Oryctolagus cuniculus: one gene and its partners. The protein of the gene in region 1 interacts with the protein of each later gene in a pairwise test. Links are inferred from orthologs where the notes say so. Each region holds a gene or a part of one and is shown on either strand. Other genes may lie near its edges. The genes, in order: LDOC1, RAB29, FOSL1, TNNT1, PLEKHF2, NRIP1 and AP1M1.

Region 1 (3,317 bases):
GAGATGCTATCATTCACCAAACATTAATGGAGACCTTTCTCTGGGCCAGGCTGGCTTCTAGGCACTAGAGATAAAGCAGCTAGCAAACAAAGCCTCTCTCTGCACCAACTTACATTCTACAGTGGAGGCAGATGATGAACAAAGTGCTCTACAATGTGCTGGCCAGGATTATGATGATAAATGTTCTGTATTGAAACATATAAGGTAAGGGGTTAGAGACTGGGTGGCACAGAACAGGGCGCTCTGAGAACCGGAGTGCTCAGGAAAGTTCTGTAGGAATGTAAGGGGAGGAGCCAGGCCTCTAACTGGGAAGAGCTTTGCAATTCAGAGGGATAAAAAGTACAAAGGCCTTGAGGCTGGAATTAGCTGATATGTGTAAGAATCAGCAGGGGGTGGGGTGTGATTAGAGCAGAACTGGGAATGGGAGACCTAGGAGAGTAGGCAGGGCCTTCCTTATAGGGCATGGTCAAGACTTTGTTTTTTATTCTAAGTGACAGGGGAAACTATTGGAGGGTTTTGAGCCAGGGAGGGAAGGGATCTGACTTCTGCGCTAAAGGATTCCCACAGCTACTCTATAGAGAACAGAGTGTAGGAAGAGAAGAAAGCAAGCTAAAAGTGATTGCTTTTAGCGGTCTGGCAATGGTAGAAGTGACAAAGAGGGCTGCATTCGTTGTCAAAAACTATTTGAATATTCACATTCAAATAGAAAAAAACATTAAAGAGCACAAATGTCTTCATGGTTTCCTCATTGTTAAGAATAACAACCATTGCCACAGGCTCTGATATCAGGACGTGAAACAGAGCCACACAGGGAGGTCACCTTAAGCGCTTATCAGATGGTGACTTTGCAGAACTTGTTATAAGCCTCTATTCAGAATTTTTTCAACACTTAGTAATGGTTTCTAAATAAAAGTCCCTGTTCAAATACCGCTTTGCGACGAAAGCCCGGACCCCTTAAGAGTCTTTATGACTCTGAAAGGATCGGTGATTGCAGCAGGGCAGTCAGCAGCGTCAGTACTTCTCTAGGGGAGGTTTGAAAAGGCGATTAATCCTATCAACAAAACATCGCACCCAAGAAACTGGCGTTTGCAGACCCGCGAAACAGTGAATTGTGCGAGTCGGCTGTCTGCGACATGGCGCTCAGTGCCCGCCAGGCCCTAGGCTAACGCAGGCCTCACATCCGGGGCTCGGCCCCATTTCACAGCCTTTACCAGTTCTCCTAGCGAGCCAGCACTTGTCTGCTCTCCGCGACACTGCGCGACCCTGCGCTTCCCTCCCCGGCCACTCCCTCCCTGGTCTCAAGTCCCCTCCAACGGTTCGCGGCAGCCAGGCCACGCCCCCACTGCGTCCTGGCCTCTTCCCCGGCCCCGCCCGCACCTTGCTGCGCCGGCGCGCCGCCTGCCTGAGTGGCCTCGGGGGCGGAGCTTGCGCAGCCGCCGGGACCCCACGCTCGCCGTCCCCCGCCCCTGGCCACAGCACTTTATAGGACACGCACTTCCTGCAAGGCCTCTTGTGTGCATCTTGGCCCAGCGGAGCCTACTCGAGCGAGCCCAGACCTTTCAAGCTGTTCGAGATGGTGGACGAGCTTGTGTTACTGCTGCACGCACTGCTGGTGAGGCACCGCGCCCTGAGCATCGAGAACAGCCAGCTCATGGAACAGCTGCGGCTGCTGGTTTGCGAGAGGGCCAGCCTGCTGCGCCAGGTACGTCCGCCGAGCTGCCCGGTGCCCTTCCCTGAAACGTTTAACGGCGAGAGCTCCCGGCTCCCCGAGTTTATTGTGCAGACGGCGTCTTACATGCTCGTGAACGAGAACCGGTTCTGCAACGACGCCATGAAGGTGGCATTCCTAATCAGCCTCCTGACCGGGGAAGCCGAGGAGTGGGTGGTGCCCTACATCGAGATGGATAGCCCCATCCTAGGCGATTACCGGGCCTTCCTGGATGAGATGAAGCAGTGTTTCGGCTGGGATGATGACGAAGACGACGACGACGACTATGAAGAGGATGATTACTAGGCCCCGAGCCGCTGGGGGCCTATGAGGGGAGAGCCCTGCACGCAGCCACTTCTCCCTCTCCTCCACCCCCACCCCATCCCACCCGACCTCCGGAGCTGCTGCACTCCCCTTGCCTTCCTGTTCTCCCCTCCCCAACCCCCGAAGTGCTTGTCTTTGTTCCAGGAGTAGTGCTCCAGCTACCTGCTGCTGGGGCTGGGCAGGGGCCTCACCCTGAAGCCGGTCATCTGATTTGCCTAGCCCCAGGACCTCTCCCCACCTCATCTGAACTGTGTCATAAGCCCCAGTTATAGGCCAGGCCCCTGTTACAAACTGCTCAGATCACACTGCTGCTGCCACCTGCCTCGCTGCCAGGCCTACACCTGCACAGAGACTCATGCTACCACTGCGCCATCGCCCACTGCAAGCCTCTGACAGATCATCGCTTTTAGAGACAAGGACCAACACAGAAGACTTCTGACTTGGCTACACCTTTTCGGACATTGATTTGGACAGCTCATCGGCCCCTCAAGGGGCTGTTTTTCAACCTGGTTAGTTCCCTACCTACTCCTAGGGTCCTCTACCCAGCCTGAGTGCTGCGGGGACCTGGTGTGCCTGGCAACCAAATTGTTGATGTCTCTTTTCTCTAATGCACAACTGTCGTTTTTCTTTCATAATTGCAGCAGCCCCACCAATGTGTGTGGTTGAACATATGTTTCTAAAAACAAAACAAACAAAAAGCAAAAACGCACTAAGCTCAGCTCCTCAATACTACCTGGAAAAAAAAAGTTGGCATTATTTTCAATAAATATCAAGCACTACAAAAAGTGAGAAATGATTGTCTTTTAATGGTTAAGTGCTATCACTGGCATCTGCCATGCTCACACTGACTCCTGCTATTCCCATTGATGTCCAATTCAATCCCAGTGGTCCCTATTGTCATCTCTAGGCTACAGAGGACAGTTTCCACGGGGCTTTAAAAATATTCCAATGCTTCCCTTACCAAGGCATAGCTTAAAGCCCAAACGGAATGTCTTCTGGGGCCTCCAGGGTGGCATGGGTAAGGGGTGGCTGAGCATGTGGCTCATCATCCCAAACCAGGACACTTTTGAGAGTAAAAGGGGATGCTATTACTAATCATGGTGACACAGCAAGCGTATAAACCTGGACACATGCATGAAGGGGCTTCATGAAGTCCATGGGAAAATGGAACTAAAATAATGTACATTTTCAGTGAACTTTGTGAAGCCCCCAGTGTGAGCCCTGCTTGTCTTTTGGGTTCCTTAACACTGTCAGGGAAGCTCTGTCCCTTAACCCTTATTGCCTG
Region 2 (3,465 bases), on another chromosome or scaffold:
AAGCAAAAAGATACATGGGGAGAGAGAGAGAGTGTCTGTGTGTGTTCCCCTTCACTGGTTCACTCCCCACTGCCAACAACAGTTGGGGTTAGGCCAGGTTTAGGCTAGGAACCAGGAGCTCAATCCGGGTTTCCCAGCTGAGTCCTCACCTGCTGCCTCCCAGGGATGCATTAGCAGGAAGTGGGAGTGGGGCAGAGACGGAAATCCGGGCACTGCTATGGTATTCGGGCACCCCAAGTGACAGCTTGACCGCCAGGGGAAAAGCCTACCCCCAGAGGACATTTCAGATATGCTTGCTCTCTGACCACAGAGAAGAAATGGGAGTTACTTTCTCACACTGGCCACAGACCTTGTTGGCCAAGAGCAGGCAGGGCACGGGCTCTCCATTGGGCAGGGTGAGCTTGCTGTCCAGGTCCTGTTTCCACCTCTGGCTGTTGCTGAAGGTAGTGGCGTTGGTAACGTCAAACATGATAACACAGGCGGAGGCGTCCCGGTAGTACAGCCGCGTCATGGAGGTGAAGCGCTCCTGCCCTGGGGAGGAAGGGCCGCCCTCGAGAAGGTGACCCCACCTGCCCACCGGCCCTTTCTTGTCGGAGAGGCCTCACCCGTACGCGACACAGGAACCTTCTGACTTGCCCTCTCCCACTCCTGGTCTTCTCTCCATCCCACAGAGGGCCTACTAAACTCAGTCATCCCCAAGGCAGACTCTGCTCCCAGTCTCCCACTCCAGATCTGGACTCAGTTACTGTTATTTGTGTGACTTGCTAAGTGCTTCAGATTTCTCGTGTGTGAAGTGAAGTCAAAAGCAGTTGCTTTGGGGCTCGTGTTGTGGCACAGTGAAAGGTTAAGCTGCCACTAGGAACACTGGCATCCCAAACTGGAGTGCCAGTCTGAGTCCAGGCTGCTCAGCTTCCAGTCCAGCTCTCTGTTAGTGCTCCTGGGTAAGCAGGAGAAGATGGCCCAAGTGCTTGGACCCCTGCCATCCCTGGGGGAGACCTGGATGGAGTCCTTGGCTCCTGGCTGCAGCCTGGCCCAGCCCCGGCTGTTGCAACCATTTGGGGAGTGAACCAGTAGACGCAAGATCTCTCTCTCTCTTTCTCTGTCACTATGGCTTTCAAATAAATTAATAAATCTTTTTAGAAAATCAGCTTTTATGATAGGGTTGTTGGAATTAATGAGTCCCTGAATTAAGAAAATTTTATTCTAAAAGTTTTTACTAACATGTAACACCTGTACATTTTATTTATTTATTTATATTTATTTTGGAAGTCAGAGAGAGATCTGCTGGTTCAATCCCCAGAACGTCACAATAGCCAGCGCTGGGCCAAGCCAAAGCCAGGAGCCAGGAGCACCCACATAGGTTGCAGGGGTCCAAACACTTGGGCATCTTCCACAGCTTTTCTCAGGCCATTAGCAGGGAGCTTGACTGGAAGTGGAGCAGCCAGGACACAAACCTGCACCCATATGGGATGTTGGCATCACAGGCAGCAGCTTTACCCACTATGCCAAAATACTGGCCCCCATTTCCTGTACATTTTCATGGGGTACTATGCAGTATTTCAGCACATGTATATAGCATAAAACAATCAAATCAGGCCAGCGCCACGGCTCACTAGGCTAATCCTCCACCTGCGGCGCTGGCACCCCGGGTTCTAGTCCCGGTCAGGGCGCCGGATTCTGTCCCGGTTGCCCCTCTTCCAGGCCAGCTCTCTGCTGTGGCCCGGGAGTGCAGTGGAGGATGGCCCAAGTACTTGGGCCCTGCACCCCATGGGAGACCAGGAGAGGCACCTGGCTCCTGCCATCAGATCAGCGCGGTGCGCCAGCCGCAGCGCGCCGGCCATTGGAGGGTGAACCAACGGCAAAGGAAGACCTTTCTCTCTGTCTCTCTCTCTCACTGTCCACTCTGCCTGTCAAAAAACAACAACAACAACAAAAAAAACACTAGAATCTAGTGCTTCTTTTACTGAATATTTATTCACTTTTATTTATTTGAAAGGCAGACAGAGAAAGAGAAAAAGAGAGGAGAATCTTTCATTCCTTGGTTTACCCACAACAGCCAGGGTTGGCCAGGTCAAAGGCAGGGACCCAGAACTGAATCTGGGTCTCCCAGGTGGGTGGCAGGACCCAAGTTTTTGAGCCATCATCTGCTGTGTCCCAGGGTGCACATTAGCAGGAAGCTAGCATCAGAGGCAGAGCTGGGGTTCAAATCCAGGCATTTGGATATGGCATGTGGACGTGGTGAGGGGCATGTCTACACAGCTATGCCAAACACCGGTCCCTAGAATCTGTTATTTCTCTCTGCGTTTTGGTACCTGTTTTCCAATCTGCTTCTGTCTGCTCTCCTCCCTCCCCTGCACCCCACCAGCTGAATTTAACATCCGCAGGAAAGTGCTTGGGGCATAGTAAGGGTCCAGTATTATCATCCTGTTTTCTGGGTTCCTTGTTTCTCCTCAGAGTCAGCTGCAAACCCCTGCTATAGGAACATCCACCCCCAGTTGGGATAGTCCACCACCTTGCTAGCTCCTCCTCCTAGCCAGACGCCGCTCCAGGTCCATCCCGGGCAGAACATCTGCCCAAGCTCCCCCTCCTCTCGGCTCCTTTCCTCCGAGCAGCCCAATCAGATAAAACCTTTCTGGTCTCGCCGGCCCGCTTCTTTTCTAAGCACTTATTGGTGAGGTCACAGGCCTTCGCTTGTTCCTAGCCGGCCTTCCCAGCTCACCTGCAATGTCCCACAGCTGCAGCCGCACCACCTCCGAGTCGGACCACTGCAGCACCTTCAGCGCGAAGTCCACTGAAACACAGGTAGGTCGTATTTTAACAGAATTTACTTTTATTTTAAAAAGATTTTTATTTACTTATTGCATCTACTTGAATGCACAGTGAACAAGCGAGCAAACGAGATCTTTCATTCACTGGTTCTATTCTCAAATGCCTGCAGCAGCCTGGGCTGGGCCAGGCTGAAGCCAGGAGCCAGGAGCTCCATCAGGGTATCCCACATACGTGGCAAGGGCCCAAGCTCTTGGGCCATCATCTGCTGCCTTCTAGGGAGTGCATTAGCAGGAAGCATAGCAGTCAGGCCTTGACCGAGACACTCCATCACGGGGTGCGGGCATCCCAGGCCGGGGTTTAACAGGCTGGGCCACAATCACCCTTCCCTGAAAATTAAAAAAAACAAAAACGACAAAACAAAAAAACCACAGGGATACACTCATATCCGAGAAGCAGTTACAACCCTGGGGACACACAATTCCAAAGCCATTCGTTTGTTTATTTTTAAGCCCTCAGTAGGTCTGAATGAGCTCAGCCTGGCATATTAAGTGGGGGACAGGGAATTCCTATTCTCCAAAGGGGTGCCCGACTTTTGCTCTCCCGCCCACACAATCCATGTGACTCCAAGGCCAGGCGCAAAAGGGCAGCAGTGATTGTGAGACCAGCCCCCCTCTCTCCGTTGAGCAGTTCCTGGGA
Region 3 (2,575 bases), on another chromosome or scaffold:
TACATGGGACCACGGTGGAGAGAGGGCTGTCCCGGCAAAGCTCGCGCTGCAGCCGGGGTGGAGCTCAGGGTCCTGAGAAAGGTGTGAGACCAGCCAGGAACAGGTGGCCAGAGACAGAAGGGCTGAAGCCAGCCAGCGGACCCCTCCCGTGGCCGCTTCCTTCAGCCCTGTCCTAGGTACTCCCAGGTTGGTGCTGCCAGGGGTCCTCTTGGGGGCGTGGTCTCCACTCACTGGCCTCTCACCCAGTGGCTGGAACCGTACGCAAGTCATGTCTCCCCGCCCCCTTCGGCCCCCGGGCTTCAAGTCCTGACCTGGAAGGCGGGGCTGAGCTGCACAGAGGTCAGGTCCCCCCGAAGCTGCGACTTCCGTGGGTGCTCAGCCCCTCCAGCACTCCAGATCCTGGGGGACAGACGTGGCAGTCTGAACACAGAAGGATGGGTGCCCCTTGCAAAGGGAAAAGCCCACCCCAGGGAATGGGGGCAGGAAGGTGTCCTGTAGCCCGGGGCGCCCAGCTGAGCCCTGGAAGCTGAGGTTTGTGGGAGCAGGAGTGAGCACTAGAGCTAGGGCAGAGGTGGGAATTGGCCATTGCTACGCAGCACCCGAGTACGGGGAACCAGTGTGGGTGCAGTGGTCTTCAAATCACAGACCGGGGTGGGGGGGCTCCACATGGCCAGGGGCTTACCCCTGGAGGGGGCAAGGTCACAGCAGTGACCCGGGGTCTGTCTCACTGCCGCCTCCCCCCCGACCCCCCAGATCAGCCCAGAGGAAGAGGAGCGTCGCCGAGTGAGGCGGGAGCGGAACAAGCTGGCCGCGGCCAAGTGCAGGAACAGGAGGAAGGAACTGACCGACTTCCTGCAGGCGGTGAGCGCTGACCCCTGTGGGGGCACCCAGGGTCCCCCTGAGCCTCATGGGCACCCTGGCTGTCCCTCTCCCGGGACAGTCCTGGGAGAAGCAGCACTGAGCCCAAGTCCAGCCAGCAGCCTGTCTGAGCCACCCCAGGCCTCATGGGAGTTGTGCCCATGTTTTCCCAGGGGCTCACGGGAGTTGCAGTCCAGCCGTGCTGGAGACGCCCCACCCCGGCGGGGGCCACGGGGCCTTCCGCCCTCACCCTCCCTACTCCCCTTTGCCACCTCTCCAGGAGACGGACAAGCTGGAGGACGAGAAGTCCGCGCTGCAGCGGGAGATTGAGGAGCTGCAGAAGCAGAAAGAGCGCCTGGAGCTGGTGCTGGAAGCCCACCGCCCCATCTGCAAAATCCCAGAAGCAGCCCAGGACAGCGGCGACCCAGGCGGCTCCGGCGGCACCAGCAGCCCGCCCGCCCCCTGCCGCCCAGTCCCTTGCATCTCCCTCTCCCCGGGGCCCGTGCTGGAGCCCGAGGCACTGCACACCCCCACGCTCATGACCACGCCCTCCCTCACTCCCTTCACCCCCAGCCTGGTCTTCACCTACCCCAGCACCCCTGAGCCCTGCTCCTCCGCCCATCGCAAAAGCAGCAGCAGCAGTGGGGATCCCTCCTCAGACCCCCTGGGCTCCCCAACCCTCCTGGCCTTGTGAGGCAGCCCAGCCCCCCTCCTGCAAGGCGCCACCCCAGAAGGCATCTCCTCCCCCGCCAGCCCCCGCCCCGTTCCCAGGTCCAGCTGGCCTGGACCGCCCGGCCCTCGCCGCGCTTCTCCATCCCCCCAGGTGAAACCGAGCACATTTGCACCAAATCTCAGACCAAACATCTCCCATCTGTCAGAAAAACCCAGAGAGACTTTGTATGACCCCCTAGGGGCCCTGTGGAGCCCACACCCACCCCCCACACTGTCCAGGGAGCCTGTCTCCCAGCCTACAACACTAACTCACCAGCCCCACTGCCAGCAGCGCACGGCCACGGGCCGACCCCTCCGGCCCGCACAGTCCACGAGGTGTGTACCACGGGCTTCTGTGACGAGCTCACCTGTAGCCCCCCTCTGAGAAGCCTTTAGCCCCCAGGGAATCCAGGCCTCCAGAGGGAGGGGCAGCTGCTATTTATTTTCCAGAAGAGAGTATTTTTATACAAACCTGCCAACATGGAATAAAAGGCTTGAAGCTCTGGTCTGGGGGGTGTGTCCTTGGGCCCAGAGTCGCCAGCCCTGGGTGTGGGTCTCCGCCCCACAGACTGGCCCCGTGACCTTGGACAAATTGATACTTCTGGATCCTGTCTTATCTGACGCCGGCGCCTCATTGCCAGCACGGAGAGAACGGGGTGCTCCGGGGTGAAGGTGGGGGGGTTATCGGTCCCTCTCCCCTGGGAGCCAACAGAGCTGGCGCATGTGCCACGGGGGAGGCACTCTTCCACCCCCACCCCACCCCCGCGTCCATCCTCAAGACGCGGCCAAGTGGGTTCTAGGCCCCCAACACCTGCTTCCTGCCCCATTGTCTTGCACAGGAAGGGAGCAGGAGCCACTTCAGGGGCCGGATCCCGGTCTGTCCCGGCACTGGACTGGGGGAGGGGAGAGAGTCCCGCATTCCCACCCCAAACTCGAGTGGGTAGGGGAGTCGGCCACCTCAGTTTTGCGGTCGCGTCGGAAGGGAAGGGTACCCGGTCCCGAGCCC
Region 4 (4,089 bases), on another chromosome or scaffold:
ATGGCTGGGGTGGATGATGGGCGATGGCTGGGGTGGATGATGGGCGATGGCTGGGGTGGGTGATGGGCGATGGCTGGGGTGGACGATGGCTGGGGTGGGTGATGGGCGATGGCTGGGGTGGGCCAGCGGCTCTGTCCCCGGGCGGCTTCCTCTCTGCGCACCCTCTGGCTGCTCCCTGGGGAGAGATGGGGGTCAGAGAGTCTGGGGCGGGGAGGGGGCTTCTCCAAGCCCCTCCCTCCTGCCATTGTCACTCACTCCTCATATTCCTGCTCCTCGGTGTCCGACATCCTGCTGTGACCTGCGCCAGAGAGAAGAGGTGACGGCTGTGGGGTCTGAAGGGGGAGGCCCAGGGACCCCTGGTTCTGAGGGAGGAGGTGGGGCCTGCACCCCTGGGTCTGAGGGAGAAGGCCTGGGGCCCCCGGGTCTTAGGGAGGAGGGCCTGGGGCACTCCTGTGTCTGAGGGTAGAGGGCTGGGGGATCCCCGTGTTTGAGGGAGGAGGACCGGACTGGGGGGGATCCCTGGGTCTGAGGGAGGAGGGAGGGGCGTGGACCCCTGGTCTGAGGGAGGAGGGCTGGGGGACTCCCATGTCTAATGGAGGAGGGCCTGGGGGGACCCCCGTGTCAGGGAGGAGGGCTGGGGGACTCCATGTCTGAGGGAGGAGGGCCTGGGGGGACCCCCGTGTCTGAGGGAGGAGGGCTGGGGGACTCCCATGTCTGAGGGAGGAGGGCCTGGGGGGACCCCCGTGTCTGAGGGAGGAGGGCTGGGGGACTCCCATGTCTGAGGGAGGAGGGCCTGGGGGAACCCCTGTGTCTGAGGGAGGAGTTTCTGGGGGACCCCCATGTCTGAGGGAGGAGGGGCCTGGGGGGATCCCTGTGTCTGAAGGAGGAGGGCTGGGGGACCCCCGTGTCTGAAGGAGGAGGGAACAGGGGGGACCCCCGTGTCTGAGGGAGGAGGGCTGGGGGTACCCCCATGTCTGAGGGAGGAGGGAGCTGGGGGACCCCCATGTCAGAGGGAGGAGGGCCTGGCCCCCAGAGCCTAAGCGCTGGGGACAGCAGGGCCTGGAGCTGTGGGCCTGGCAGAGCGGCAGCCCCCGCCCCCCAGCACAGCTGTCCCCTTTGTCTGAGGACAGGAACCTGATCCCCCTGGATTAGGAGGGGATCTGAGACAGGGCCTGCAGACAATAGCAGCCCCACCCCGGCAGCTATTTTGGGGGGATGTCCACAGAGGACATTTCCTAAGAAGGACTGGGGGGGCCTTCTGGGACAATGAGTCACCACCTGTCTCCTCCACTCACCTCCACATGCACACACACACACACACACACACACACCGCGTCCCTGAGACTACACACACACACACACACACCCCGTGTCCCTGAGACCCTCCACACCACACACACACACACACACACCCCGCGTCCCTGAGACCCTCCACACACACACACACACACACACACACACCGCGTCCCTGAGACCCTCCACACCACACACACACACACACACACCCCGCGTCCCTGAGACCCTACACACACACACACACACACACACCCCGCGTCCCTGAGACCCTCCACACCACACACACACACACACACCCCGCGTCCCTGAGACCCTTCACACCACACACACACACACACACCCCGCGTCCCTGAGACCCTCCACACCACACACACACACACCCCGCGTCCCTGAGACCCTCCACACCACACACACACACACACACACACCCCGCGTCCCTGAGACCCTCCACACCACACACACACACACACACACACACCCCGCGTCCCTGAGACCCTCCACACCACACACACACACACACACCCCGCGTCCCTGAGACCCTTCACACCACACACACACACACCCCGCGTCCCTGAGACCCTACACACACACACACACACACACACACCCCGTGTCCCTGAGACCCTCCACACACACACATGCACACACACACACACACCGTGTCCCTGAAACTACACACACACACACCCCGCGTCCCTGAGACCCTCCACACCACACACACACACACACACCCCGCGTCCCTGAGACCCTACACACACACACACACACGCACACCCCGCGTCCCTGAGACCCTCCTGGCCCAGGCTCAGAGCCCTTCCAGTCCCACCCCCTGGATAACCCACTTGTGGGCCCGGCTACCCCACGGCCCCACACCGTCAGGATGGGCACCCTGGGGCCCAAGCTCAGGGCTCAGCACCACACCCCGAGCTATGGCGCTACAAATGCTGAGACCCGATTCCCAAAATCCCACACTCAGACCCCTCCCCGGTCCTGATACCCCCAGAGCTGGAGACCCCCAAACCTGCCACTCAGACTATCTGACAGCCGAGCCCAGAACACCCCTCCTGAGGTCCCTGCAGACTCCGGAAGACACCCCGCATTCGGCACCCAGGCGCCCTGTGCTCTGAGCCTGCTCCTCCCAGACCCCAGCTCTCGCGCTCCGTCCAGGGCACTCCGTGGGGACGGCAGAGCCCCGTTACCTAAGGCTGGGGATGCAGACGCTGGATCCGCAGGCTGAGCCTTGCCTGGCCTGGCCTCGCTGAGGGCTCTGACGCACCCCGCGTTTATAGGGGTTTATAGCTGCAGGCTGAGCCCCGCCCCTGGGGCGCGGGGTGGGGGGGAATTCCTGAGCTCAGAGGAGGCCCAGCCCCTTCTGGCTCCAGAGTCAGGGTCCAGGCATCTCCTGGCTGCTCCAGGGCCCAGGCCTCCCCATGGGTGGTCTCTGAGCCTCTGTCTGTCCTGTGTGTGTCCCTGTCCCCGCCCCCACCCCTTTGTCTGCCACCAGGATTCCGCTCTGGTGACAAAAGGCTCTAAAACCGGGAGGCAGGTGTGGGGGGGGGGAGAGGATGGGGTGACAATGAGGCTGGCAAGCCCTCCCCCCAGTCCAGCCATGACCTTGAGAGAGCCCTGGACAGCAGGCTTCCTCCCCCCGGGGACCTGGCTGCCCTTCTCAGGGTCTCCCAGGGCTCTGTCCTTGTCCCCCTCTGGCCCCTGGGTGTGTGTCCTGTCGATGGCACTTCCGGGCGGGCCTCTGTCTGGTGCTCGGGGTCCCTGGGCGAGTCTGTGGCTGTCCATGTCCTCGTGTGTCTTTCTAGCTCCTGTCGGTCACAGGTTCCCTGGGAGTCTGTGCCCGCTGTCTTCCGTCTCTCTCTCTCCTCCTTTGCGTCTTTGGCTCAGTCCCTCTCCCGTGGGCGTCTCCGTGGGTGCTCCCCGTCGGCCTTGTCCTTGGCCTCTGCGTGCACCCCACGTGCAGCCATGAGCGCCCCTGTCGGAGGCGCAGGGCGGCCCCGCCCCCGTTCCCCCCAGTGTCCAGCACACCAGGACGCGGCCACTGCAGTTCGGAGCAGCTTTATTCAGCAGGGCGGGCCGGGCCGTGCGGGGCTCAGCCCTCGAACTTCTTCTTGCGACCCTCCATGCCGCTCAGCAGGTCGATGTTCTTGCGCCAGTCTCCCACCTCCCGGTTCTCCTGGGGGTGCGGTCAGAGGTTAGGGTCTCCTCCTGGTCCCCTCTCCCTAAGCCGCTGCGGGCAGGACCGCTCCACGCTGCCTGTCCCCTACAGTCGGCCGAGTTCTCTTAACTGCCTCTTGTCCCAGTCACACACTTCCTGTGTCATGCACTTCATGTCTGTCCCCTCATGCACTTCCTGCCTCCCCTCATGCACTTCCTGTCTGACCCCTTATGTACTTCCTGTGTCATGCACTGCCTGTCCCCTCATGCACTTCCTGTCTGACCCCTCATGCATTTCCTGTCTGTCCCCTCATGCACTTCCTGTTCCCTCATGCACTTCCTGTGTATCCTCCTCATGCACTTCCTGTCCCCCTCCTGCACTTCCTGTCCCCTCATCACTTCCTATGTCCATTATGCACTTCCTGTCCCCAATGCACTTCCTGTATCATGCACTTCCTGTGTGCCCTCCTCATGCACTTCCTGTCCCCTCATCACTTCCTGTCCCCCTCTCCTCCTCATGTACTTCCTGTCTCTGTCATGCACTTCCTGTCCCCCTCATGCACTTCCTGTCTGTCCCCTCATGCACTTCCTGCGTGTCTCCCCCATCACTTCCTGTCTCCTCATCAC
Region 5 (3,500 bases), on another chromosome or scaffold:
TCTATAAAATAAAAAAATGTAATCACAACTACTTTATAGAAAAACATTCATTTAGTATGAAGATACTTCTAAACTGTTATTTGTAGCTGTCAGATGAGAAGTATTCTTAACTGAACTCATTCATAAACACTTATTATATTACCTCAAAGAGCACCAGTGTGTTTTTTAAACAAATCTAAAAGTGAGAAAGTAGGGGCTTATTGTTCATGTAACAGTGCTATTAAGATAAGGCACGACTGGGTATACGAAAACGCCAAAGTATTTCCAAATCATGTATTTTTGCTACCGATGTTTGAACCACTAGGTAAAGTGGTTAGAAAAAAGCTAATATTATTAAACACATTATACTCTTTTCTCCATCATTCTGTGCTTTTAGCTTTTCCATATAACAGAAAAACATACTACATGATCTGTTAAATAAGCATCTTTTCCCAACCTTCCAAGAAAATAATCTAGAAATAAACAACAGTAAGAAATTCAAAATGTGTCTGCTATATTTGCAAGTCTATCCCTGTAGAAGACTGTGGGAGGGGAAGAAGGCAGGAGGGACTTACTTTCTATAGAATACATTGAGGCACATAGGTTCAAAGTTTCTCAGGCAAATTCATGGCTAGAGCAAAATTGAGAGAGCTCAGAATTTTACATTTTCCACAAAGCTGATTTCCCAAATAGCCACACCCAATTAAATATTTCAAAATGTGTCCTTAGTCACTGCTATCATCATCGTCATCATCATCAGATACATCATTTAAAGGAGACTTCAATGACTGACTGTAAGAGTCCGAGCTGGCAGGCTGGCATGTGGCCATGTCCCCAGTAGAAAGCAGGTCATAGCAGAAGTCACAAATCCGCACAGGCTTAGAGGACTGGCTGGGAAGAAGAAACCTCTTTTCAGAGCAGGGCCCACAGACAACAAAACCACACTTGCGGCAATGGTGACGACGATTAACAGGTGTGAATTTTGCTTTCTGACAACGCATACATACAGTTGCCTCAGAGTCAGGAACCCAAACAGCAGCATGTTCATTACTGGGTGTCTTCCCGCTTTTGGAGAGTAAATCAGTAACACATTTATTTATATGATTCATCCATTCTGACTTCTCAGTGGCAGTGGCAGCATAAACTGCAAATGATTTAGTTGGTGTTTTGATAAGCCACCCATTCCTTAAGTCCCCCTCATCTTTGATGGAATCAATAGTGACATTTTCCAGGGGAATAATGTGTTGTTTGTTATATTTTTTCTTCTGAATGACAATATTTCCATATACAAGAATATCATTAAATAGGAAAAACTGCCTTGCTTTAGGCTTTTTTCTACACAATTTAGTCAATACTCCTTCTCCAATAAGGACTCGTCCAGGTATAGTTAAGGGTTGACCAGCAGCTCCAAAACAGTTTTCCACTATGCTTATACGCCTTGTATTTGCTTCACTGTTTGCCAAGCGATCCACCATCTTCTGCTAATAGCCTTTAGAAAAAGAAAGAAAAATAAATTAGCTCACAGAAAGTATATATTCTAAAGGCTAATGAGTTACATAAATTTAATCTAACAATGCATTACTTTCATGCAAAAGTAAAATGCACAAATTCTGTACCTCAAAGATAATCAAGAAGCATACCTAAAGGGCTAGTATCTCTCAACTTTATGAATATCAAAACACTTTATTTCCATACAGCATCACACTAGATCAGCAGGTATTTATAAAAGCACAGATTTCTTACAGACATAAAAGAATGAAAACAAAATGGACAGTTAATATTTTAAGTCACCCCTGCAAAATAACAGGTTCAGCTACATGAAATTTAATCTCAGTGGGATTAAATAACTATTAAATATTAAATAAACTAAGAAAAATGAAGGGCCAGTGCTGTGGTACAACAGGTTAACGCCCTGGCCTGAAGTGCCGGTATCCCATATGGGTGCTGGTTCGAGTTCCAGCTGCTCGCTTCAAATCCAGCTCTCTGCTATGGCCTGGGAAAGCAGTAGAAGATGGCCCAAATCCTTGGGCCCCTGCACCCACTTGGGAGACCCTGAAGAAGCTCCTGGCTCCTGGCTTTGGATTGGCACAGCTCTGGCCATTGCAGCCAATTGGGGAGTGAACCAGCAGATGGAAGACCTCTCTCTCTCTCTGCCTCTCCTCTCTGTGTAACTCTGACTTTCAAAAAAATAAATAAATCTTTAAAAAAAAGGAGAGGGGAGGGGAGGGGAGGGGAGGGGAAAAAAGAAAAATGACTGCCATTTTCCCAGCCAGCTATTAGCACTGAGCCAAGACCAATTCTCTTAACTGATTCAGTGGAACTGTTTCAGTCTTGTCCCTTAAATCAATCTTTAGACAATGATCTTTAAAATGTTAGTGTGACCCTGTCGTTGTTTAAAATGTTTCCTTCTAGCCTGTAAAACACATGCATTTTGGTGTGGTGTTTACAGGACTTCCTTACCTGGTTTTTGCTTATTGCCTCGGCATCACCGTAAGTCACACCTCCCCTCAAATGCTGAATACCCTGTTACTTACAGTACATCTCACTGTTGTTTATTTTACTACTTACTATTACTTAAGCTAAATCTTATTTACACTTCAAGACCTGGTTTAAATTATCATCTCTCCAAGAAGTATTTCTTAAACTCCCAAACTAGACTACAAAAATTTTCCTCCGTACTTGACATATTCCATTTATCTTCTAGCTTTACTTTTACCAAAGGATTAAAATCTCTCCTCCACAGAGGAAGAACGTAAAAGGCAGAAATAGTTTGAAATAAACCTTTGAAACTGATGTGGTATATATAACATGGCAAAGGTACTTCAAAATGTTAAGAACATTTTAATGATCTGAAAAAAGTCAGACAAATTTAATATCATAAATTTATCACTGGATCCAATATTGATCTCACTTGAGTCCCAGGGTTTTGTCCTATTTCAGACTTACTAATACCACCACCATACAACCAACTCACATTAAAGAAGAATAAAGTTTGAGTAGAACATTTAAATCTAAAGTCAAAGTTCCCGATGAGAACTTTGATGAGACAGTAATCCTTCTTGGCCTCCATTATAAGAGATAGGTTGCGGTTATTCCTTAATTCTGTCTCTTCCCCAATCTTAGGTCTTTATAAAGTCCCCTTGTTCTCCACAAAGGCGGGCTCTAGCAGCCCTGAAAGTTGTTCCCAAGGATTAATTTGATAATGTAGGGCTCCAAACTCTGAGGGCTTCTTTTTTGAATCAGGGCTATCTAATCTGTCAGTCAATAGTGTGCAATAGCACACCACAGAAAAGGAAATAAAAACAGCTTACAAACATGAAAATAAGCTTGACAATTCATAATTAAAGACAAGATATTTAAAATACTACAATATTTTTCACTTATCATATTAACAAAATCCTAACAGTTCTTCAACAGGCTGTACTTGTGAGGGTATAGGGAAACAGATAACCCTGGTACACTTCAATCTATGAATTTCACTAAGTGCATGAATGTATGTACAAGGATATTCAACACAGCAT
Region 6 (3,500 bases), on another chromosome or scaffold:
TTGCAGCAGTATTCTCGAGAACATGCTTTAAAAACACAAAATGCAAATCAAGTGGCAAGTGAAAGACTCGCTGCGATGGCCAGATTGCAAGAAAATGGCCAGAAGGATGTTGGTGGTTTCCAGCTCTCGAAAGGAATGCCAACCCATCTTAACGGTCAGGCAAGAACATCGTCAAGCAAACTAATGACTAGCAAAAGTAATGCTACAGCATTTCAAAATCCAATGGGTATTGTTCCTTCTTCCCCCAAAAATGCAGGCTATAAGAACTCACTGGAAAGAAACAGTCTAAAACAAGCTGCCAATAATAGTTTGCTTTTACACCTTCTTAAAAGCCAGACCATACCTAAGCCTATGAATGGACATAGTCATAGTGAGAGAGGAAGCATTTTTGAGGATAGCAGTACACCTACAACTATTGATGAATATTCAGACAACAATCCTAGTTTTACAGATGACAGTAGCGGTGATGAAAGTTCTTATTCTAACTGTGTTCCCATAGATTTGTCTTGCAAACACCGAATCGAAAAAGTGGAATCTGACCAACCTGTTTCTCTAGATAACTTAACTCAGTCCTTGCTCAACACCTGGGATCCAAAAGTCCCAGAGGTGGATATCAAAGAAGATCAAGACACCTCAAAGAATTCCAAGCTAAATTCACACCAGAAAGTAACCCTTCTTCAGTTGCTACTTGGCCATAAGAATGAAGAAAATGTAGAAAAGACCACCAGCACTCAGGGAGTACACAGTGATGTGACAAAGTTCAGTCCACAAAATTATACAAGGACTTCTGTAATAGAAAGCCCCAGTACAAATAGGACTACTCCAGTGAGCACTCCACCATTACTTGCATCCACCAAAGCAGATTCTCCCATCAATCTTTCTCAGAACTCCCTGGTCATCAAATGGAATTCCACACCATATGCCTGCAGTACTCAGTCTGAAAAGCTAATGAATGCTGCATCTAACCACTTGATGGACCTGACAAAAAGCAAAGAATCACAAGGAGAGAAACCAGCCCAAAATGAAGGTGCACCAAACTCTGCCACTTTCAGTGCCAGTAAGCTGTTACAGAATCTAGCGCAGTGTGGGATGCAGTCTTCCGTGTCAGCGGACGAGCAGCGCCCCAGCAAACAGCTGCTAAGTGTAAACCCAGACAAACCGCTAGGTATGATGGAGAGATTAAATAGCCCTCTGCTCGCAAATAAAACAAATGCAGCTGAAGACAGTAAGGCATTCAGTAGTCAGTCAGCAGCTCCTGAGCCAGGACTTTCTAGTTCTGAAATAGAAAATCTGCTTGAAAGACGCACTGTCCTCCAGTTGCTCCTGGGAAATACCAACAAAGGTAAGAGTGAAAAAAAAGAGAAGATTCCTATAAGAGATGAAAGTACTCAGGGACACAGCGAGAGAGCTTTAAGTGAACAAATACTGATGGTGAAAATAAAATCTGAGCCTTGTGATGACTTACATATTCACAACACAAATCTGCACTTGAACCATGATACTAAGAGTGCCCCACTACTGGGTACGGCTCCTACCATGCAGAGAAACGCAGCTGCCTTACCAGCATCCGAGGACTTGAAATCGGAGCCAGTTTCACCTCAGGATTTTTCTTTCTCGAAGAATGGTTTGTTAAGTCGGTTGCTGAGACAAAACCATGAGAGTTACCTGGCAGATGACCCGGACAAGAGCTACAGAAGCAGCGAACTAACGCTTCTGGAATCAAAGAATCTTTGTATGGTCCCTAAGAAAAGGAAGCTTTATTCTGAGCCATTAGAAAATCCATTTAAAAAGATGAAAAATAACATTGTTGATGCTGCAAACAATCACAGCGCTCCAGAAGTACTGTATGGGTCTTTGATTAACCAGGAAGAGCTGAAATTTAGCAGAAATGACCTTGAATTTAAATATCCTGCTGGTTCTGGTTCAGCCAATGAAAATGAACATAGGAGTTGGGCCCGAGAGAGCAAAAGTTTCAATGTTCTGAAACAGCTCCTTCTCTCAGAAAACTGTGTGCGGGATTTGTCCCCACACAGGAGTAACTCTGTCGTTGACAGTAAAAGAAAAGGACACAAAAATAATGTGACCAGTAGCAAACCTGAATTCAGCATTTCTTCTTTAAATGGACTGATGTACAGTTCCAGTCAGCCCAGTAGTTGCGTGGATAACAGGACATTTTCATACCCAGGAGTAGTAAAAACTCCTGTGACTCCACCTTTCTCTGAGCACATGAGCTGTGCGGGTTCTCGGCCAGAAACTGGGCCTTTGAGTGGCTGTCCCGGGCCCAGTGAGAAGGGACCCATTAAGTGGGTTATCACAGATGTAGATAAGAGTGAGTATGAAAAAGACTCTCCAAGACTGACCAAAACTAACCCAATCTTGTATTACATGCTCCAGAAAGGAGGCACTTCTGTTACCAGTCGAGAAACGCAGGATAAGGACATTTGGAGGGAACCTTCTTCTGAAAGTGTCTCACAGGTTCCAGTCAAAGAAGAGTTACTCCCTGCTGCAGAACCTAAGGCTGCTTTTATCAACTTACGAAGCCCTTACAACAGCCATATGGGAAATAATGCTTCTCGCCCACACAGTGCAAATGGAGATGTTTACGGACTTCTGGGAAACATGCTAACAATAAAAAAAGAATCCGAATGAAATGTACCTACCAGTCAGCTTTGGATCACTTTAAAACTAATTAGTATGAACTTGAGATCTGTATAAATAAGAGCATGATTTGAGAAAAGCATGGTATAATTGAAACTTTTTTTTATTTTGAGAAGTATTGGTTACTGGTGATGTTTAAATATGCATACTAATTTTTGCTTAACATTAGATGTCATGAGGAAACTACTGAACTTAGCAATTGGTTGTTTCACACTTCTGTATGCATCAGATAACAACTGTGAGTAGCCTATGAATGAAATTATTTTATAATCATAAATAAGAGGCATAAGTTAAAATGTAAAACTCCATCCATAGTGGATTACTGCATTTTGATGCCTTGAATACGGTGTTTCATTTTGCTTTTCAGAAGTCAGCCTACACGTTTTTTTAAAAATCCAAACTCTTAAATAACTCTTAGGGAATAATATCAAATTAAAATTTTAGTTCTGATTCACATCTCATTATCCAGTAATAAATTATCCAATAAATCAGAAAAACTATATACTTAACATTTTTCACTTTTGCTAAAAGACATATTTGTTTTTAACTCTTGGAAGGGGTTTTTTGATTCCCAGTATGTCTGCCCGCCCCAGTCCTTTTCAATACATATTTCTTTAAACCTTGTACTACTTAGTAAAAATTGATTACAATTGAGGGAAGTTTGATAGATCCTTATAAAAAAGGACAGATTTCCATTTTTGTATTTTAACTACTTTACTAAATTATTACTCCTCCTTTTACAGAATTAGGGAAGTTAACATTTGCGTTCAGGTGGTTTCCTGAATAGTTGAATATTTAAGAAATTGTTTATAACAGAAGTAAAATGGCTTTTCTTTGAACAG
Region 7 (4,272 bases), on another chromosome or scaffold:
GCAGCACTACTTCCGGTGAGCCTGCAGCAGAAACCTCTCCAGTGAGATTGAACAGAAGCAGCACTTCCGGTGAGATGAACAGAAGCGGCACTTCCGGTGAATTGCCACAGACACCTGAAACAGAAGTAGCACTTCCGGTGAGCTGGTTCAGGAGCAGCACTTCCGGTGAACAGCAGAAACCACTTCGGTGAGCTGCAGCAGTAGCATCACTTCCGGTGAGCCCGGAGCACCCGCAGCACTCTTCTTCCAGGCGCCTCTAATGGGTGTCCAGTGCCAAGGCAGACATTGCTAATCGATCGCGACGTTCCTCACCGTGGAAACCTTGGAGCACTGGTCCCTGAGTGGGCACGCGTGTGCTGTGATGCGGCGGCCGCGATGTTGGGAAAAACAGTGTCCGGGGGCCGCGCCGGGGCGGGGGCTGTCTGTGTAAAAGCCGCAGAATAAAGCAAAAGCGTCACTGAAGAGGAGTCTGGGCGTCTGATTGCCTGAGCCATAGCGGCCGGAGATGACTCCTGCCCTCTGTGCCGCGGGCTGGGTGCCCAGCGGGGAGCGCCTGACAGGCACCCAGCCCACCTGCTCATCCGGCGGGCCGGAGCGAAACCAGGGTCTCAGGGGAACGGCGGGAGGGCGCGGACCCAGCAGGAAGCAGTGTCCCGGGTAGCACTGGGATGCACCTGGCGCAGCAGGTAAAGCCTCCGCCCGCAGTGCTGGCATCACACAGGGGCGCCGGTTCGAGTCCCGGCTGCTCCATTTCTGATCCAGCTCTCTGCTGTGGCCTGGGAAAGCAGTACAAGACGGCCCAGGTCCTTGGACCCCTGCACCTGCGTGGGAAACCCGGATGGAGCTCCTGGCTTCGATTTGGCTCTGCTCCGGCCGTTGCGGCCATCTGGGGAGTGAACCAGCAGATGGAAGACCTCCCCCCACCCCCGTAACTCTGTCTTTAAAATAAATAAAATTTTTTCTAAAAACATTTCAGCTGAAGAATGCAGACACGCCGTTGGTTATGACCCGACCAGGGCCGCTAAAAATGTAGCAGGAAAGCACACGTGCCCAGCAGTGGCTTGCGGTTTTTCACGAGGGCATTCCGAGCAGTAAACCGCGGGCTGGCGCGGTGACCCACGTGGACACTGACAGGTGGCCGGAGGAGGCGGGAGGCCAGAGCTTGACCTCTGCACAGAGAAGCACCGCCTTCGCCCTGCCCTAGGACGCGTCACCCCTGGTGGCTGTGTGTAGGCTACGCTCCCCGGCCAGGCCGAGCTCCACGGGTCTGGACCCGCCCGGCTTCACCAGAGCGCCGCGGCCGGCCGGAGTCGCCCCGATTCCGCCGGCCCCGCCCCCCGCGCCCCACTTCCGGCCGCTCGAGGAGCGCAGCGAGAAATACGGTCTTCCCGGGCGTACTGCGCCTGCGCCTAGCCCTCCCGCACCTGCGCAGACCTGGCCGCCCCGCCCCCCTCGCCCTCAGCCCGGACATAACGGTCCGCGCGCGGCGCTCCGGGCCGGAAGTGGAGGGGAACCGTCGCCGGGCGCGCCCGGCCTCGCCCCACGCCCGGCCGTGCCCGCCGCCGCCGCCCTCGGTTGCCGCCGAGGCCTCCCGCAGCCGCCATGTCCGCCAGCGCTGTGTACGTGCTGGACCTGAAGGGCAAGGTACTGAGCGCTCCCCACCCAGCCTCCCCGCTGCCGAGTAACCGGCGGGGGCCTCGCCCTGTTAGGTAAACGACCCGTGGACCCCACCCAGCGGTAGGCGAGGCGGCCGGGCGGCCCCACCCGAGGGTCCCCCACCCAGCAGGGCGGGGGTCTCCAGTCCGCGAGGCCCGCCCTGCTGCCAGGTGGCGAGGTGGGCTGCCGCCTCCGCCGTTGCCAGGTAACGGGCGACGCCGCCCCTCCCCTGCACCCCACCCACCCCCACCGCCGCGTGCCCGCTGGCGATTCGGGCCGGGGTCTCGGGCCTCCGCGGCGGGGAGGGCGGGCCGCAGCCGGCCCCCGGCGTGGGAGGGGTGGGTGGACGGCGCGACCCTTGGCCGGAGGTGGCCAGGCGTGGCGGGGGGTGGTGGACAGCGTGCGCTCGCGGCCGGTCCCGCCTTCTCCCGGGCGCCGCCACCCCGTGGGAACCGCTGACGTCATCGTGACACTGAGTGAGGTTAGGGTTAAGGTGGCGTGGGCGGTGGACAGAGTGGGGAAACCGAGGCACGGAGTGGGCCCGGCGTTTGCAGGGGGCCCAGCAGCCGGGAGGGGCAGGTGTCCTGTGTCCTGGGTTCGGTGCCCGCCTCCGTCCACGCAGAGCCTGGGAGGCCCGGGTCGCTGGGGCCCCGCCACGCGCCTGGCGGGCCCGGGTCCGGTGCTCTGTTTGCAGCTGCAGCCGCCGCCAGGCGCCCTTCCTCTGGGCATCTGGGGGAGCCAACCAGCCGATCGCTGTGTTTGTCTCTTTCTGTGCCTTGCAGACAAAACCAGAAAAAGTTTATTTGGGTGCAAAAAAAATGTTTTTAATCGGTGCATAGGTTTTTTTTTTTTTTTCTCATAAACTTTTCCCTCGTGCGCATAGATTTCGGGGGGAAAATTGCCTCCAATTTTTTTTAACTTATTTGTTTCAAAGGCAGAGTTACAGAAAGAGAGGGAGAGAGAGAGAGGTCTTCCATCCGCTGGTTCACTCCCCAGTTGGCCTCATCGGCTGGAGCTGTGCCGATCTAGAGCCAGGAGCCAGGAGCTACTTCCGGGTCTCCCACGCAGGTGCAGGGGCCCAAGCACTTGGCCCATCTTCCACTGCTTTCCCAGGCCAGAGCAGAGAGCTGGATGGGAAGAGGAGCAGCTGGGACTAGAACCGGCCCTCATATGGGATGGCAGTGCTGCAGGCGGCGGTTTTACCCGCTCTGCCACTGCGCCGGCCCCAGCCCTGATTCCATTGCCCGTGACCTCTGAGAAGCCCCCTCATCAGGGCGGCAGGGGCTTCCCTGGGGGAGGGGCCAGGTGTGGCCGAGACCCAGGCATGTTTCCCAGGGGCCTGTGAGAGCAGCGCTGGCCAGGCCACCTCCCCACATGGGAGCCAGAACTGGGAGAGGCGCGGGTGCCGCCTGAGCCCGGGAGCAGGTGAGCGCGGCCGCCCCTTCCTGCTCCACCCGGCGCCCTCCCCAAGTCCCTGGCCCTCTGCTTGCTTTGGAAGCCACCCAAGAGCTGCAGCTCACGAGGCCGCCTGCAGGGCTTCTGAGCCCGGCCAGACCCGGGAAGCGGGAAAGACGACTTCCCCGAAGCTGCCCGGCTCCTTCCGCCAACGTGTCGGAGCCTCTCGCGCGACCCCAGCCTGTGGCCAGGTACAGGGTGGCCACGGGCCAGGCACAGGGTGGCCACAGTGCTGCCGCTGGCCGCGGCTGTGCACAGTGCCCGGGGAAGCTCAGGCCCCATGGGGGCTCAGCTCTGCCACCCTGTGCAGGGGAGCACTGGGGAGGAGGCGCTTCCCTCTCTGGGCCTCGCCTTTCCCTCCCCAGAGGCTTTGACAGGGCTGGCGTGGTGAGGTCAGGAGATACCGGCCCCACAGGCCCGGGACAAGGTCCTGGCAGTGCAGCTGGGGAAGGGGGAGGCGGGTGCCCCAGTGGGCTGAACGAGGTGACCAGGCGGCAGGTGGAAAGGAGGCGTCCGGTGGGCCGCAGGGCGGGACGCACACACACACACACACACACACACACACCCCCGCCAGCCCTCCGCAGCCGGGACGCCCCATATCAGAGGTTTCGAAAGTCTGCCTCCTGCACTGAAGTGTTTGCTCAGAAGTAAGGCAACAGCGCCTTGAGCAATCCGTGCCAGCCGCGGGCGCCCCGTGGGTGGGCAGAAGCTCTCCCCGGGCACCTGTCCACCTGCGGCCCAGAGCCCCTTCCCGCCTCTTCTGCTCTCGCCCGTTGACTGTTGGGTTCCGAGGGGGTGGGGCCCAGTCGTGTCTCCCCACAGTGCCCCTCTTCCCAGGCCCACATCCAGACAGCTTATCTGGAGAGCCACTGGCCTCCAGGGTGCTGAGTGGTCCCTGCCATGCCCAGACTTGCTGTCCCTTCTGTGTCCACGCTGGAGCCCCGGTGTTACTCTGGCCTTCTCCTCCCCACCCACATGGCCGCTGCACAGATGTTTCCTGGGCACCCGCCGCGGGCCAGGCTGTGTCCTGGGTGCTGGGGCACAGCTGTGAGAGACCCCAGAGCAGCCGCTGTTCTCAGGGAACCTCAGACAAATGAGGACACAGATGTGTGTATAGCCTGGCAGAGGGGACAGGCAGGGAGGACTTCCTGGAGGAGGTGC

What was found.
Region 2: the proteins of LDOC1 (region 1) and RAB29 interact in binary tests that used the Homo sapiens proteins (3 or more experiments, as listed by UniProt). The two-hybrid records come from large-scale screens. The link is inferred for Oryctolagus cuniculus from reciprocal best matches to the Homo sapiens genes LDOC1 and RAB29.
Region 3: the proteins of LDOC1 (region 1) and FOSL1 interact in binary tests that used the Homo sapiens proteins (3 or more experiments, as listed by UniProt). The two-hybrid records come from large-scale screens. The link is inferred for Oryctolagus cuniculus from reciprocal best matches to the Homo sapiens genes LDOC1 and FOSL1.
Region 4: the proteins of LDOC1 (region 1) and TNNT1 interact in binary tests that used the Homo sapiens proteins (3 or more experiments, as listed by UniProt). The two-hybrid records come from large-scale screens. The link is inferred for Oryctolagus cuniculus from reciprocal best matches to the Homo sapiens genes LDOC1 and TNNT1.
Region 5: the proteins of LDOC1 (region 1) and PLEKHF2 interact in binary tests that used the Homo sapiens proteins (3 or more experiments, as listed by UniProt). The two-hybrid records come from large-scale screens. The link is inferred for Oryctolagus cuniculus from reciprocal best matches to the Homo sapiens genes LDOC1 and PLEKHF2.
Region 6: the proteins of LDOC1 (region 1) and NRIP1 interact in binary tests that used the Homo sapiens proteins (3 or more experiments, as listed by UniProt). The two-hybrid records come from large-scale screens. The link is inferred for Oryctolagus cuniculus from reciprocal best matches to the Homo sapiens genes LDOC1 and NRIP1.
Region 7: the proteins of LDOC1 (region 1) and AP1M1 interact in binary tests that used the Homo sapiens proteins (3 or more experiments, as listed by UniProt). The two-hybrid records come from large-scale screens. The link is inferred for Oryctolagus cuniculus from reciprocal best matches to the Homo sapiens genes LDOC1 and AP1M1.

What each region holds. Positions count from the first base shown.
Region 1 is NC_091453.1:119,608,682-119,611,998, forward strand, and holds LDOC1 (protein LDOC1), read left to right. Parts: upstream 1-1,209; 5' UTR 1,210-1,573; coding exon 1,574-2,014; 3' UTR 2,015-2,817; downstream 2,818-3,317. UniProt on the Homo sapiens protein: May have an important role in the development and/or progression of some cancers.
Region 2 is NC_091444.1:21,088,742-21,092,206, forward strand, and holds part of RAB29 (ras-related protein Rab-7L1), read right to left. Parts: intron 2,792-3,465; coding exon 2,720-2,791; intron 532-2,719; coding exon 350-531; intron 1-349. UniProt on the Homo sapiens protein: The small GTPases Rab are key regulators in vesicle trafficking. Essential for maintaining the integrity of the endosome-trans-Golgi network structure.
Region 3 is NC_091432.1:5,879,230-5,881,804, forward strand, and holds the end of FOSL1 (fos-related antigen 1), read left to right. Parts: intron 1-753; coding exon 754-861; intron 862-1,138; coding exon 1,139-1,552; 3' UTR 1,553-2,075; downstream 2,076-2,575.
Region 4 is NC_091449.1:3,705,175-3,709,263, reverse strand, and holds the start of TNNT1 (troponin T, slow skeletal muscle), read right to left. Parts: upstream 2,801-4,089; 5' UTR 2,496-2,800; exon of another isoform or gene 2,404-2,495; intron 1,083-2,403; exon of another isoform or gene 666-1,082; intron 605-665; exon of another isoform or gene 299-604; 5' UTR 288-298; coding exon 256-287; coding exon of another isoform or gene 252-255; exon of another isoform or gene 246-251; coding exon of another isoform or gene 220-245; exon of another isoform or gene 209-219; intron 176-208; coding exon 162-175; intron 1-161. Other genes in the region: TNNI3 (troponin I, cardiac muscle), read right to left, coding at 3,398-3,481. UniProt on the Homo sapiens protein: Troponin T is the tropomyosin-binding subunit of troponin, the thin filament regulatory complex which confers calcium-sensitivity to striated muscle actomyosin ATPase activity.
Region 5 is NC_091437.1:120,560,765-120,564,264, reverse strand, and holds part of PLEKHF2 (pleckstrin homology domain-containing family F member 2), read right to left. Parts: intron 1,469-3,500; 5' UTR 1,455-1,468; coding exon 705-1,454; 3' UTR 1-704. UniProt on the Homo sapiens protein: May play a role in early endosome fusion upstream of RAB5, hence regulating receptor trafficking and fluid-phase transport. Enhances cellular sensitivity to TNF-induced apoptosis.
Region 6 is NC_091435.1:32,174,371-32,177,870, forward strand, and holds part of NRIP1 (nuclear receptor-interacting protein 1), read left to right. Parts: coding exon 1-2,649; 3' UTR 2,650-3,500. UniProt on the Homo sapiens protein: Modulates transcriptional activation by steroid receptors such as NR3C1, NR3C2 and ESR1. Also modulates transcriptional repression by nuclear hormone receptors.
Region 7 is NC_091447.1:64,728,466-64,732,737, forward strand, and holds the start of AP1M1 (AP-1 complex subunit mu-1), read left to right. Parts: upstream 1-1,472; 5' UTR 1,473-1,602; coding exon 1,603-1,644; intron 1,645-4,272. UniProt on the Homo sapiens protein: Subunit of clathrin-associated adaptor protein complex 1 that plays a role in protein sorting in the trans-Golgi network (TGN) and endosomes.